2 linked regions of the Drosophila melanogaster genome follow. The protein of the gene in region 2 interacts with the protein of the main gene of each other region in a biochemical or structural test. Each region holds a gene or a part of one and is shown on either strand. Other genes may lie near its edges. The genes, in order: Crtc and Sik2.

Region 1 (4,811 bases), on a different chromosome or scaffold from region 2:
TCAAAACGTATTTACAGATATTTTATCGAAAAGTATTTGTTGCCAAGCAGATTGTAAATATACTTAGTTAAGAAACAGCCAAATTGAATTTAATGGAATGACAACATATTTATAAAATAAGGATTACAGAGATTTTAACTTTATCGAATTGAATTGAATTGCTCATAATTGCGGGAAATATTTTTGAATGTCACTGGCATTACTCACTACCACATTGATTGCTATAAAAGCTGGGAAATTTAGTACTTTCTCAAGACATTCCCAACTGCTCAAGTATTACTTATTAACTCCTACCCTTCTTCAAAACCTCATTAGTTTCCACCATTAGCTAATTTAACCTTATCGATTTCTCTTTTAGGCGGAGAAAAGAATGGCTCAATTAAATCGATTGAGGTAATTCCTTATTGAGAAACCATACCTTAGCTGTATCCAATGCATAACTTTTAACGCAGATTTCTCTTTAATTCTAATTTATCATTTTGATTTGTTTGCCCGGGGATTCTTGGAACTAACGTTTGAGTTAAAATATTTTGCAAAGAAAATACTCAAGTGTTGGTTGGTTGTTGTCGACGTGTTAATTCCAGCTAAATGCTTACTCATTTTATATATCGTAACTTCATATTTATTTTATGTGCGAAAACTTCGCTTAGTGATATACTCAGAAAGTTTAGTCTTTTACTTTACTTTAAGGCAAATCGTTAAATTATTTGCGAAATAAACATATTGAGTAATCATGTTATTTCTTGAAAACTTGTGACTTGAAAGGCGTTTAGAACGTCTGAAAAGTTCAGAATCAGCTATTCAAGTTGTATATGTATCCTTGTACGGATAAAAATGTACCCATAGTTTGCTTATCAATATCCAAATGAGATACCCCCATTCTCATTCAAATGAGTCCCACTTCGTGACCATCTCTATATCTCTGTAGAACCCTATGCGATGACTAATCCAAGCAGATATCGGAAGTGTAAGGCCCATTATGGCTAAAACGCGATGCAGGAGCAAAGAGATTTAAATGCGGCTCACACTTTTGGACGAGCCGGCAATTGCGGCCATAAAAAGGCCGAGCACGCCTCAAACTAAACAAAGGTAGATATTACTTTACTTTTTGGGAGGGACTGGACTTTTTTTTAGGGGGTAGGCAATCAAAGGGAGGGGTGCTGTTGGGCAAAGCGGAAATATTCCCACGAATCGATAATGACATTTAATAATTATTTAATATATTGCGGCCGATAAAAATGGTGGTCATTTACCACAGGAAAAAACAGCTGTATATTTAATCGATAAGAACAGATAAACAAATACTATAATTTGTAAAGTCACATTTATTCATGTTGAATACAAATGAATTATAATTTTGTTAATTTTTTGATAAGAACAGATAAACAATACTATACTTTGTAAAGCCCCACTTATTCACGTTGAATACAAATTAATTATAATTTTGTTAATTTACGAACATAAAACTTTAAAAATAATGGTATTTAATGAAATATATCTTTGGCTTGTTAAGCACAATTAAAGGTCTCAAAATAAAATGTTATAATTTTATGGAATTATTATTATATTGGTCAGCATATTTCGAAACAAAAAGTAAGTTATTTTTTCTTTCCGTGCCAATTTTTGAGTGTGAATGGCCCATTTGTTCTCTCGTTGTTCCTTCTTCTCCCCACTTATCCTTCCATATCTCTCTCCCATTATCATTCTCCCCTCGACACGGGGAGACACTCCTGGGAAACCCTTATCAGCAGTTTTTTTTATAGCCACTCGCGTTCCTTGGAATTTTTGAATAATTTCGATGTTTGTTTATTTATCGCGCGGCGCAACCGCAACAGTTGAAAAGAAAACTAAGAGGGAGGGGGAAAGCGATTTGCAGAAACGTGTGTGAAGCAAAGAGGCGGCAAAAACAAAACGAACTGCAAAGAGGGGGCGGGCGAGGGCGTAACTTACATTCTCTCTCGTTCGCCGCTAACTCCGATTGGATCTCTTGCTCTCTCTGTCGCTCTTGTGCTATGCAAATTGGATTCTTGCTTGATTAAAATCTCATATAGAAGAATTAAGTTTTTGGCGCTTTTTATTTGTTGTTATTGTTATGACCTTTTGCGTTATTTTTTTGTGTTTTTTGCGTCGCTTAATAAAACCAGATTTGATTTTGAGTTGTTTGCGAGCCGAGAGTTGTTAAATCCAAAAATCGGTTTGCTGGGGGATTATTTTAACAACTGATTGTTTTTTTTGTGTTATTTCTACTCGCTCTTACACACACACACACAGCCGCACGCGCACGCACACTTCGAGAGGTTTATTGTTTTAACGCAAAACTGCGACGTTGTTTTTTTTTTATTTTGCGCTCTCAGCTGGTTGGCACTTTTTGCGCTATTTTTTTGGTTACCGCATGAAAAGTGAAAAACTTTCGTTGCGCCTTTGACCTCTTTTCACACAGACACACGCACACACACACTGCTAGGCGGACGAGTGTGCCTCTAATTGGGTGTCCAATTGGGATTACAGCACGCAGCAAAAGCGGCGGCGTCGGCCGATTCTATATTGCATTTCCTTGATTTCTATATATTCTTTGCCCCGATTTTTTGGCTTTTGTTTTTCGCACACCAATGGAAAAGCTCACCAACACACGGACACACGCGCGCACACACACTGACACGCGGGACTGTGGATTTTTGCGGGCAACGGGACTTCTACTGTTGTGCACACTCACTCCGCAGCAATCTCGTATTCTTATTTTCGTTTATTTCGCGTTTTTTATGCCCCTATTTTGCTCTGCTGCACTCTCTCACTCGCACAGAGAACAACTTATTATTGCTGCTGCTGCTGCCTTGCTTCTTCTTCTTCGCTCATCTTCGTCGCTGTGATGGCTCTTCACTTTTTCGCTTTGTTCTGTGGTTTTTCCGCTTTTCCTCGCACGCCGTTTTAATCGCGTGTTAGTCGTGCACTTGTACAGCAATTGCGCGTCGCCTTTTTCAACGTTTTTTCCACGTTTGTTTTGTTATTTTTCCACTTTTTCTCATATTTTCCTCTGCTTCTTCGATATCAGGAGGTGTATTGGTATGAACCTATCGGGGCCATCGTTCTCCGATACTAGGAAGATATCGGCTATCGAGTTTGAAATTGGCAGCCATGCAGTGTGGCCAGAATTTGGTTGAGACAAAATACATTGCTGAACAGCGAACAGGTGATGTGTGGGAATTTCCACCAGATATTTAAAGCCAGGGCTGTCATTTCTACTTTATTTAAATGCACGTATATGATATTCAAGTCATTTTTTAAGTGCATCATATTAAATAAAAAATACAGCTAAGAGCGTAACAACTAATCAAAGTTTACTTTTTACTGATGAAAGATAAAGTGGGCTAAACCAATATGATATGTAACATAAGTTAATTATCAATTGTCAGTATTAATCAGATTACTGCATTTGTATGTAAGGTATATATATTTACAGAATAAACAGAACGTTTGTTTTTTTAAAGGGAAATATATTTTTGAAAATATTATATCTTGGGTTTCGATGTTAATCGCCGTGCAATCGGTTCGAGTCCTCACTTTTAGTCGCTTGGTAAGGTGTCTTGTCATTTAGTCCAATATATGGTATGGTGTCTCCGCTAATTTAGATTCGCAACGGAATTTTAAAAATAAATATTGATTTGATATAATTAAATAGTAATTATATAATTTACATTTATTATATGTGTTGTATTCCATGGAAATAAATAACTTACATTAAAAAGGCATACACAAATTTTATTATTAATATGCTGTCTCAAACTCTCCGTTTTGTTGACTTTGACAAAGCAAATTGTGTGGTTGCATTAGTTATTCTGCAAGCGTAATTAATGTATATTAAATTCAAAAGTTCTTAATCCATCATATTAAATGAGCGGAGCAATCATATAAAATGAAATGCAATTTAATATGCCCATTAGAAGCTAAGATAAATCATCAAAAATGATTTGGATTTCGTTTTTGGGCGCTTAAATTGCATCAACCAACACATTCAAATGGGCTTTTGCGTTCGCGTGTGTGCGTGCGGGTGTCTGTTGTGTGTGTGTGTAAACGTCTGTTTCCCTTTCCGTTAACATTTTGTGTCTGGTTTCCGGCATTTTGTGTGCGCCATTTAAAATTGTTTTCCACGATACGAATCTGCCAAACGCTCTCTTTTTCTCTTTCGTTCCCGCGAATGGAGAAAATTTTTCTTCTCGCAGACACTTGAAGCAGGAATTGGTAGCAAATTGGCGGCCTCGGGGTTACGAAGACATTTAAGGGCCGACAAGGAAATGGAGAAATAAAAATGAGGGCCAAGAATAAGGCCGAGAAGTTGGAAGAAGTAGGAGGTACTAGGTAAATTGTGTGCAAGCGATAGAAATCTCTCAGAACATTTCCTGTTTTTTTTCTTTCATTCCTATTCAAAATATTTGCCCCTTTTTTGCCTTTTTCCTTGTTCCTTAAACTTCTCTGTTACCATTCGTTTCGTGCATTTATTCCAAATTCTTTCATAAATATTTGCGCCCTTTGTGCGCTTAATTCATTCATCAAACTGTCAAATGAATGTCAAAACTAATAGAGCGCCCACTAGCCCACTTCCTCCCATAAAAAACAGCCACGAAAAGGTGCTCAATTATTGAAATGAATTAGTGGGCGCCAGTGGGTGGGCTTAAGCCGATTTCTCCTCTGCCTTTACTAGGGCTTTTTGTCCAAACATTTTCCTACAGCACGTTTTATGGCATAAAGAGTGGGTAAGCTCTTCCAATGAGCTTGGACACTTAATTGAAGTTAATTTCGATTTAGGGGTTCTCAGG
Region 2 (8,161 bases):
ATATGTATGTATGGGTGTATATCGTATATGGATCAAATAATTCATAATTGCGATTGCGAGCTTAATAAAAAGGTGGCCCCGGTCCCGGTCCAGCCCCCATTATAGTTCGATGTCCAGTCCTACCCCTTTTCCTTTCCCACCGACTTCCACTTACAAATCTACTCCCATTCGAATTGCCCCAACCCCTCCACCGAATAACATCACACACGGCCTCAGACTGACTCAAGGTGCTCCGATATCTCCAGGATGGGGCTCTCGCTGAGCGGCTTTACCAGCGACTGCCAATTGGGCGTGAAAAGGCTGAGCACCGGCGTCGATGTCTGCGGAGGACACAAGGAGAAAACGGATAAGGTTTATATACGAACTTGGGATGCCTGAGAAATCATCTTAATATGCGTTATCTAGCTTACTTACATGATAGTCGGAGTCCAGGCTGTGACCGTGGGGCGTGGTAGGCTTGCACTTGACCGTGGGCGTACCCGGCGCCGTGGACGGTGGAGCTGAGCATGATACCCCAGCAGCTGATCCTCCGGAACCAGCTCCATTAGGCGCCGCACCAGGCACCTGGTCCGATTGGCTGATGTAGGAAGTCTTGAGGTTCATCTGACTGAAGGCATGAGCTCCGGGCATGGTCATGGAGTGCTGAAGCCTAGGAGTTCCGCTCCTGGGCCGATCAAGCAAGGCCAACTCGTACAACTCGTCGGCCAGGTGATGTTCCGGAGCCGGAGCCGGCGGCGGTGGCGGACCCAGGCTGTGGCCAAAGTGGTGATGGTGGTGATGGCTGTGCTGCTGATGGTGGTGATGTCGACCGGCTAGCTGCGCCTCCAGTGCGTACTGCTTCTGGAACAACTGACGCTTCTGCTGAAGCAGGCGGTGCTGCAGTAGCTGCTGCTGCAGCGGTGGCTTTTGCATCGGGGACATGGGCACGGCCATACCCACGCCCAACTGATGGTGCGTGTATAGCCCTGGTGGCGGCGGTGGCGGAGCATAGCATCCATGACCATACATATCCCCACCAGCAGCGGCTTCCAGGAGCAGAGGTGTGGCTTGGTGGCCTGAATGGAACAGCGAATGATGGCCATGGTGATGCTGCGCAGGATGCGCATGATGATGGGGCAAAGTCAGCAGCGGATGATGCTTGCCCGGCAGAGCATAGAATTGACCATTTGGAAATTGACAGAGTTCTTCCAAGCCGTACGCTTGGGGATGAGGATGCGGATGCTGATGCGGATGTTGATGGGCATGTGGGTGTGAATGCCCCACAGCCGCCTCCTGCTGCAGCTGCTGCAGCTGCTGGATCTCCAGCCAACCGTGACGCTTGGCCTGCTCGTAGCGATAACTTCCGTACACACGACTGGTGCCCAGCAAGGAACCAGAGCTAAGCAGGCCCTGGGCCACCAGGCCATCACTCGCCCGTCTTCCTTCGCGAAAGTGTATGGGTGAACGCTTGTCCAGGAACGTGACACCACCGCCATTTGGCGGAGGCGTAGGATTCGGCGTGGGCGTGGAGGCTGAACTCTGAGGAAGGCCCAAGCCCAACGGCAGAGCTCCTGGCATATGGATGCAGGAGTTGTGGCTCCCGTACAGCGATCTTTCCGATGAATGCTCCGATGAGATTCCCGCTGGCGATGCCGAGGCCGGAGTGGGCGTGGCCAGCATCGAACTTGAGCCCATGCACGAGGGTAGACTGCCCTTGCCAGAAGGCAAGGCAAAGTCCAAGCTATCGTAGGGACCGCTGCAATTGCTCTTGGACGAGCCGCGGCTCAGGTTCTGGCTCAGACTTTTGGAGTAGCTACCAGCGCTCCCGGCGAGAACGCCACTGGACGAGCTACTACTGGCATACGAGCGCATCTTGTGACTCTGTCCAGAGGTAGTGGTTCCAACGAGCCGCGTCAGATCGCTGCTGGAGTGCGAGGTGGGTCCGCCGTTGGCGTTACCGCTACCGCCGCCATTGCTGCCCTTTGACTCCTGGGAAGCAGAGCCCGGATCGTTGCCCTGGTCTGTCTCGCAGCCCTCATCTGTGCTGGAGCTGCCTTGGGCCAGAACTTTCTTCTCCGAGCGGCTGCGGAAACGGAAGAAAACGACATTAGTCAAGAAACTATCGCTGTGACTGCAAGACTCACCTGTCGCCATTCGATTTCGCATCATTCGTTTCCTGGCCGGAGTCACCGCCGCTGCCATTGGTGCTGCCCACGTGCACACGACGCTTAGTCCTTTGCTGGAGAGGAAATGGAATTTGTCAGCTGGAAGCAATTATTAACTCACACGTATCACTCACCTCCACGGGCAGTGGGCTTTCCTGGAGAGTCTGGAAAAGCTTGCTGGCCTCGGCGGACATCTTGTAGCGAAAGCTTTGGCCCAAATTGGCCTTAGAATCGAAGCTGCTCGAGCTGGACATAGTCTTTATTGTCTTGCCGTTAATCTCACCAGGGCAGGGAGCCGATCCCGATTCCGGTCCCGCTGTACTGGATGTGGGTGTGGTAGAGGCGGGCGGAGGAACGCCTCCTACGCTTGATTCCGCCTTTGGCGGATCATCTTTACCCTCAGCCACTGCTGTGGACTGCCGAAAGTATAAGGATAGAAATAACTTGGGATAGAATCAGCCGAAAACTCACCTGCTGCAGCAGCGCACGACAGTCTTCGGTGCTCTGTTTGATGATGAACTCGCTGATGGTCTGATGAAGCTGCTTGGACGCTAGAGGCACACCCACTGCTCCAACGGGTCCTCCTCCAGCCTCCATCATCTCCCTGCACCGCAGGTTGGCCAGCGAGGGGTTGTTGTCGATGCTGAGCGAAATGGCCACCGGTCGATGGCTTCGCGGCGAGCTGGAGCTTAGACTGTGTCGTCCTACCCTCGAGGATGTGGATGAGCAGTTAGAGGGAGCGGGCGACGCGGCTGTCGGCAGCGGGGTGTACCGCATGGGCAGCGGAATGCCGCTGGCATCCACCTCGACGCCTCCTCCATTCAGATACCCAGTCAGGTGGGAGTGGCCCGTCAGAGGCAGTGGCAGTTGCAGTGGGCCATACTTGGCGTAGTATCCGGGACCGGGATCTGGAACTGTGGGTGTCGCGCCGGCGTGGGCGTTACGCTCACTCATGAGTACCGTCTGATGGCGGCTAAGTCTTTTGTGGCACTGATCCTTGGCCAGGATCGAGCTGGTGGATATTGTCTTGGACTGCTGCTGCGATTGTTGCTGCGTCGGTTGGTGGTCATTTCTGGAGCTGTAGATCATCCGACTGGCGGAGGTCGACGAGGCAAGGGCGCTGGCGCCTAAGCCGTTGCTCTGCTCCTTCTTGTGGCTAACTCGATCCTGCAGGAGCAGATATATGGCCGCGACATGGTCGTAAGTGTTCTTCTTAAGACTGGCTCGCGTCTTGTCCGACCCAATGCCGACATACTCGGCCATGATGCGAAGAATGTCCTCGCTGGGTTCCACGGACGTCTGCCGCTCGGCGCCCAGATTGTACTTGGCTATCAGGACGTGCTCCAGCAGCTCGGGGCACATCCAGCGATGGCGTTTGATTTGGTCGATGGTGTACCGCCTTGTGGGCTCCAGTACCAGCATCCGGCGAATGAGGTGCTCGCACTCGGAGCTCATAAAAAACGGAATGCGAAAGCGACCGGAAAGCACCCGATCCCGGAGGCTCTGCAGCGTGGATCCGTCGAAGGGCAGGGCCCCACATACCAGCACATAAAGCACGACGCCCAGTGACTGCAGGAAATTATACATTTTTGGATAAATTGACACGTATACTTCGCACCACTTACCCAAATATCAATCTCTGGACCCGTATATTGCTTTCCCTCGAAAACCTCGGGAGCTGCGTACGGCGGTGATCCGCACCAGGTGGCCAGTAATTCTCCCGGCTTGAAGTGATTGGAGAACCCGAAATCCGCTATTTTGATGTTCATGTTCAAATCCAGGAGCAGGTTCTCCGCCTTGAGATCCCGATGCACTATGCCCTTCTTGTGACAGTACTCCACCGCCGATATGATCTGCCAGAACTTAAAGCGCGCCGCCGACTCGGACATCCGCCCGTACTTGGCAATGTAATCTGGATAAAATATAAAGGTAAGTCCATCTCATTGAAACCCTTATCAACTTAAGAGAATGCGAGAGATTTAAAGCTAGTGTTGTTCGTCCAAAGGTCAACAAGTCTGTGCGCAATGTGGGTTCAAAAGTCTGCTAACTAAATCGAGTACTGTACTCTACAGTCCGAGTTTAAAAAATTTTTTTTAAAATGAAGCCTCAACCCACCGAAGATCTCTCCTTGGCTGGCATACTCCGACACTATGTAGATCATATTCTTGGTCTCCATAACCTGTGGGATTGGTAGAACGGGATTAGGAATACGATTCTTGGCAGGATCTGCCACAGCAAATTCTGCTGACCTGGTAGAGCTTAATGATGTGAGGGTGCTTCAGGCGCTTCATGATCTCCACTTCGCGGTAGACTTTCTGTAGGTTTGTCTGGTCCAGCTGCGACTTGTCAATGATCTTGATAGCCACCTCGTTCTTGGTGATTCGATGCCGGGCCAGCTTGACCACTGCAAAATTTCCCTTGCCAATGGTGCGCTCGATGTCGTAGAAGCCCACGCGCATGGGCTCCTTGAGTTTGAGCAGGTCCTTGCCACTGATACCGCCCGCGCCCACCGCAGAGGATGTGGGACTGGGACCGGGCGTGGAGCCACCCCCGCTGGCAAAGAGCTTCTGGGCGAGCAGTGCATCCTTGCAAGCCACTATTGCGTCTATCGAGGGCGAAGCAGCACCGGCATCCAGGAGCACTGAGCTCCGGAGGGCATCCAGTGGGGGGTGTGAACACGCTCCTTCTGCTCCTTTTGCTTCGGTTTTCCCGTTTTGGGGCAAATTCTCCGGCGGCTTATCCAGCTGCTTCTCGTTCCTCTCATGCTGCGGCTGCTTCTTCTTCTGATCCTCCGGCGGCTGGCTCTCCTCGGACTTGGCCTGGCTCCCATTCTCGCCAGCGGCCGCCGCCTCGCACGTGCTCATTTTCCAACTGCGCCACCCTGGGCGGGAAATCTCACACGGAGAGCGCGAGGCGGAGGGAGTGGGAGATCGCGATCGACAGCGAGATGGTGATGCACATGCTCACACACACCTCCTGTCTCATGACAGCGCTTCTGCGGGAATAGAAAAAGTAGAGTGGTATATTTTGGGTAGAATTACAATACAATAATGAACTGAAACTTTTTGAATGGATGTGCGACTAATGTTGTGTGTTCCCCATGTACATATATGTGCATAGAAAATATGTAAGTGCAATAAAGAACGGGATGACTCCGGAGAAGGGGTGGGCAGTCGTCGCTTGATAAGAGATTACCTCGGCTTTCCGAGTGTGTATGTGTATGGCTTTCGGACGCGGACTCCACAAGCCACCAAAGCTGCACTCTCCCTCTCTTTCTCAGGCAGTGTTGCCACAGTTCAATTGCAATGGTAAACTGGATTCACGTTTAAATTTAATCTATCACGATAATAATAGTGTTATTTCACTCGCATATCGCATATGCGCACCAGGTACAGACAAATATTTTAAAAACCATTAGCTGAGGTCCTCAAAGACATGCAGATCCATTTGTTAGTGCCCACCAAAAGGAAGACATTCAACGAAAATGGCTGACGCTGCACTTCCGCTTTCAAAATGGCTTTTTTTCCAGCCACAAAATGGCCGAGGTGCCAGCACTGACTGTGTGTGCGGCTGAAAGTGTGTGGGTGCCAGCGTGCGAGTGTATGTGTGTGGGTGAGTGTTGGTGAAAAATCAATAAGCAGAGCAACCGCATCGCATCGTGGAAATGCTCCGCGGTGCCAGTGGCCACTGTTGTTTCCTTCAGGATGCAGTGCAACCGATTCAGAACCACTGCCAGGAGATTTCCCCTTAAAGCTGCTCTCCCCAAAAATACCGTTATTGGTGAAAGCGTTAAAAGCACAAGCCTCGCCGGTTGACAAAGAAGTTTCGAGCAGGAGCGGTGGCAAAAACTGAGAATAGGCTACAGGCTGGGCCAGCTTAATCCGAATCCGGTTACTGGCTATGAGAGGATAAACGCTGGCGAGGATCCGCTTTACATCGCGTCCGCGGAGCGCCACACATGCGGCTCGGAACAGCACAGCACGGCACACACAGACACAGTCGCTGCGACACACACGGCAGATGGCTAGGAAACGTGGCTGCCTCCAATCCCGAGCTGCGTCCAACTGGCGTCCGTATTTGACGCAAGCTCGGCGCTGTCTGCCCCATTCCACCCACTCGCCCCTCAATTTCCGACCCTCACCAGCACACACATGAGGGTTGCCAAGTGAGCGCCAAGTGCCGAGCATCGAGCATGCGCCAACTTTTTCGCGAGGGTGGGAAGTTTGATGGAATTCATTTGAATTTCGCGCCCTTTGATCGTAAAACAGTATGCAATATAACCCGTTTCACCGATTCAGCTTTCAGATAGACAGTGACCGGTACAACTAACAGAAAGAGTTTGAACTATTTTCAAATTTTTTTCAGATATACTCAGATATACTTTTGCTACTGATTTGTATTGGGATGTTGCTCTTTTATATAAAATATCCACCACATTCTAGGTAAAAATGAAGTCCACATGTATTCCGGATATGACCACACATATATATTTCTTATATTCATATTCGCTGAAGGTCTTACATTAAATATTTTGTACAGTGGAACGGCTGCCGACGGCTTTCGGTCGGTCCTCTCTCTCTGTCTCTGAAACGTGTCATCTCGCTCGCTTCCAAGCGTGAGCCCAAACCGACGGGATCTGGGATCCGGTATCCGTCTTGCTGGCGCCATTCCCTAACGAAGTCAGTTAGTATATACACGGACCGATGCAACTTATGTACATGGAACAGATTTCACAAAAACAAGCTAAAAGCATTCATAGATTAAGGGTTTCTTCCACCCTAGAAATGCAAGCGTATGCCAAGAGTTTCACCTCGAGTGCTGATGGCTGTACGTTTGCATTTGCTAGGGATTGGTCTTGTTTGGATTATAGTGTTGCTTTCTGGGGCTAAATCTGGCCGGGATCTTGCTGAAGCGGCTGCTGCTGCTCTCCTTCCTCCTCTCCCTCCTCACCGTAGCAGCGCCGCTTAAAATCGCCAAAGAGATCTGCACGCGGCTGCAGACCTTGTTGAAGATGATCCATGCTCACCGTCTGCGTAGTGTTCCTGGAAGAGCAACAACTTAGTTATAGACTTTGAATAAGTATCCCTTTATCCTTACCCGGTTTTGGTGAGCACTGTACATCCGTGCTCTACCACCATGGTAAGTGAATAGAGCGTGGCCAGATTACTCATGCTATCGGTCTCATAAAGCTCTATATCCGGCAAACGGATCTGTGTCTGTTGCGAATCCTGCAAAAATCGGGCGATGCGCTCATTGACGCTCATCTTGATGCTGAATCCTGGACGCTCGCCATTGATGCGGCGACACCCTGCTCGTATCTCACGTACTTCCTGTCCCTGGGCGTGTCCAGGAGGCGACGAGGAAAGAAACGGATTAGAGGTTTCGCCGGACATCTCACTCTCGATTTGGCGGGAAGCCGGCATGGTGCCATCTGCATTTGTTTCCATCTCTGAGCAGGCATTCTGAATCTCGATAGGCTCGGAGACGCCGGCTGGTTGGAAGCGGGAAAGATCCTGAAGAGATTCTGGAAGTTGGACTGGAGACTTCGAAGGCGGTTCCATACCCACCGCTCCCGCTTCGGTGCCAGACATAAGAGTGTCATCTTCTCCAATTGTGTCATCCGAGCGAATTTGAGGCAGTAGTGATTTTTTTGTAAGCTTCCTTTTTGGATCGTATCTGGCTCCGGGTCCGAATTCGTTTCCCGGCCAGTCGGTGAGTTCATCGTCGCCCTCGCGATCGGTGTCGTGCCGTCGATGACCACCTACTTCCGCCTCGCTATCGGTGGACGAGCTCAGGGAACTAGAGCTTAAGAAGTCATAAAGTTCGCTACAATCCATTGACTGAGCTTGGAGCTGCAGCTGAGGCTGTGGAAACGTTTGGAAGCGGCGGCGACGTTCCGTTTTGGATGAGCTACTGCTGCTGTGTCCCGGCGCCTGCCCCTGCGCCTTTTTGCGCAGCAGCGGAGCAGCTGGTGGCGTACTCAATAACAAGGCATCAATATCGGTCACAGGCACAAT

Evidence for each region.
Region 1: of the proteins of Sik2 (region 2) and Crtc, one has a biochemical effect on the other in vitro, tested with the Drosophila melanogaster proteins (one study listed by BioGRID).

Annotation. Positions count from the first base shown.
Region 1 is NT_037436.4:17,666,157-17,670,967, forward strand, and holds the start of Crtc (CREB-regulated transcription coactivator), read right to left. Parts: upstream 3,079-4,811; 5' UTR 1,951-3,078; intron 1-1,950.
Region 2 is NC_004354.4:2,055,706-2,063,866, forward strand, and holds the start of Sik2 (Salt-inducible kinase 2), read right to left. Parts: upstream 6,211-8,161; 5' UTR 5,917-6,210; intron 5,140-5,916; 5' UTR 5,009-5,139; coding exon 4,394-5,008; intron 4,324-4,393; coding exon 4,260-4,323; intron 4,057-4,259; coding exon 3,770-4,056; intron 3,714-3,769; coding exon 2,616-3,713; intron 2,561-2,615; coding exon 2,279-2,560; intron 2,219-2,278; coding exon 2,124-2,218; intron 2,063-2,123; coding exon 415-2,062; exon of another isoform or gene 406-414; intron 352-405; exon of another isoform or gene 321-351; coding exon 213-320; 3' UTR 1-212. Other genes in the region: CG4281 (uncharacterized protein), read right to left, coding at 7,030-7,186, 7,242-8,161.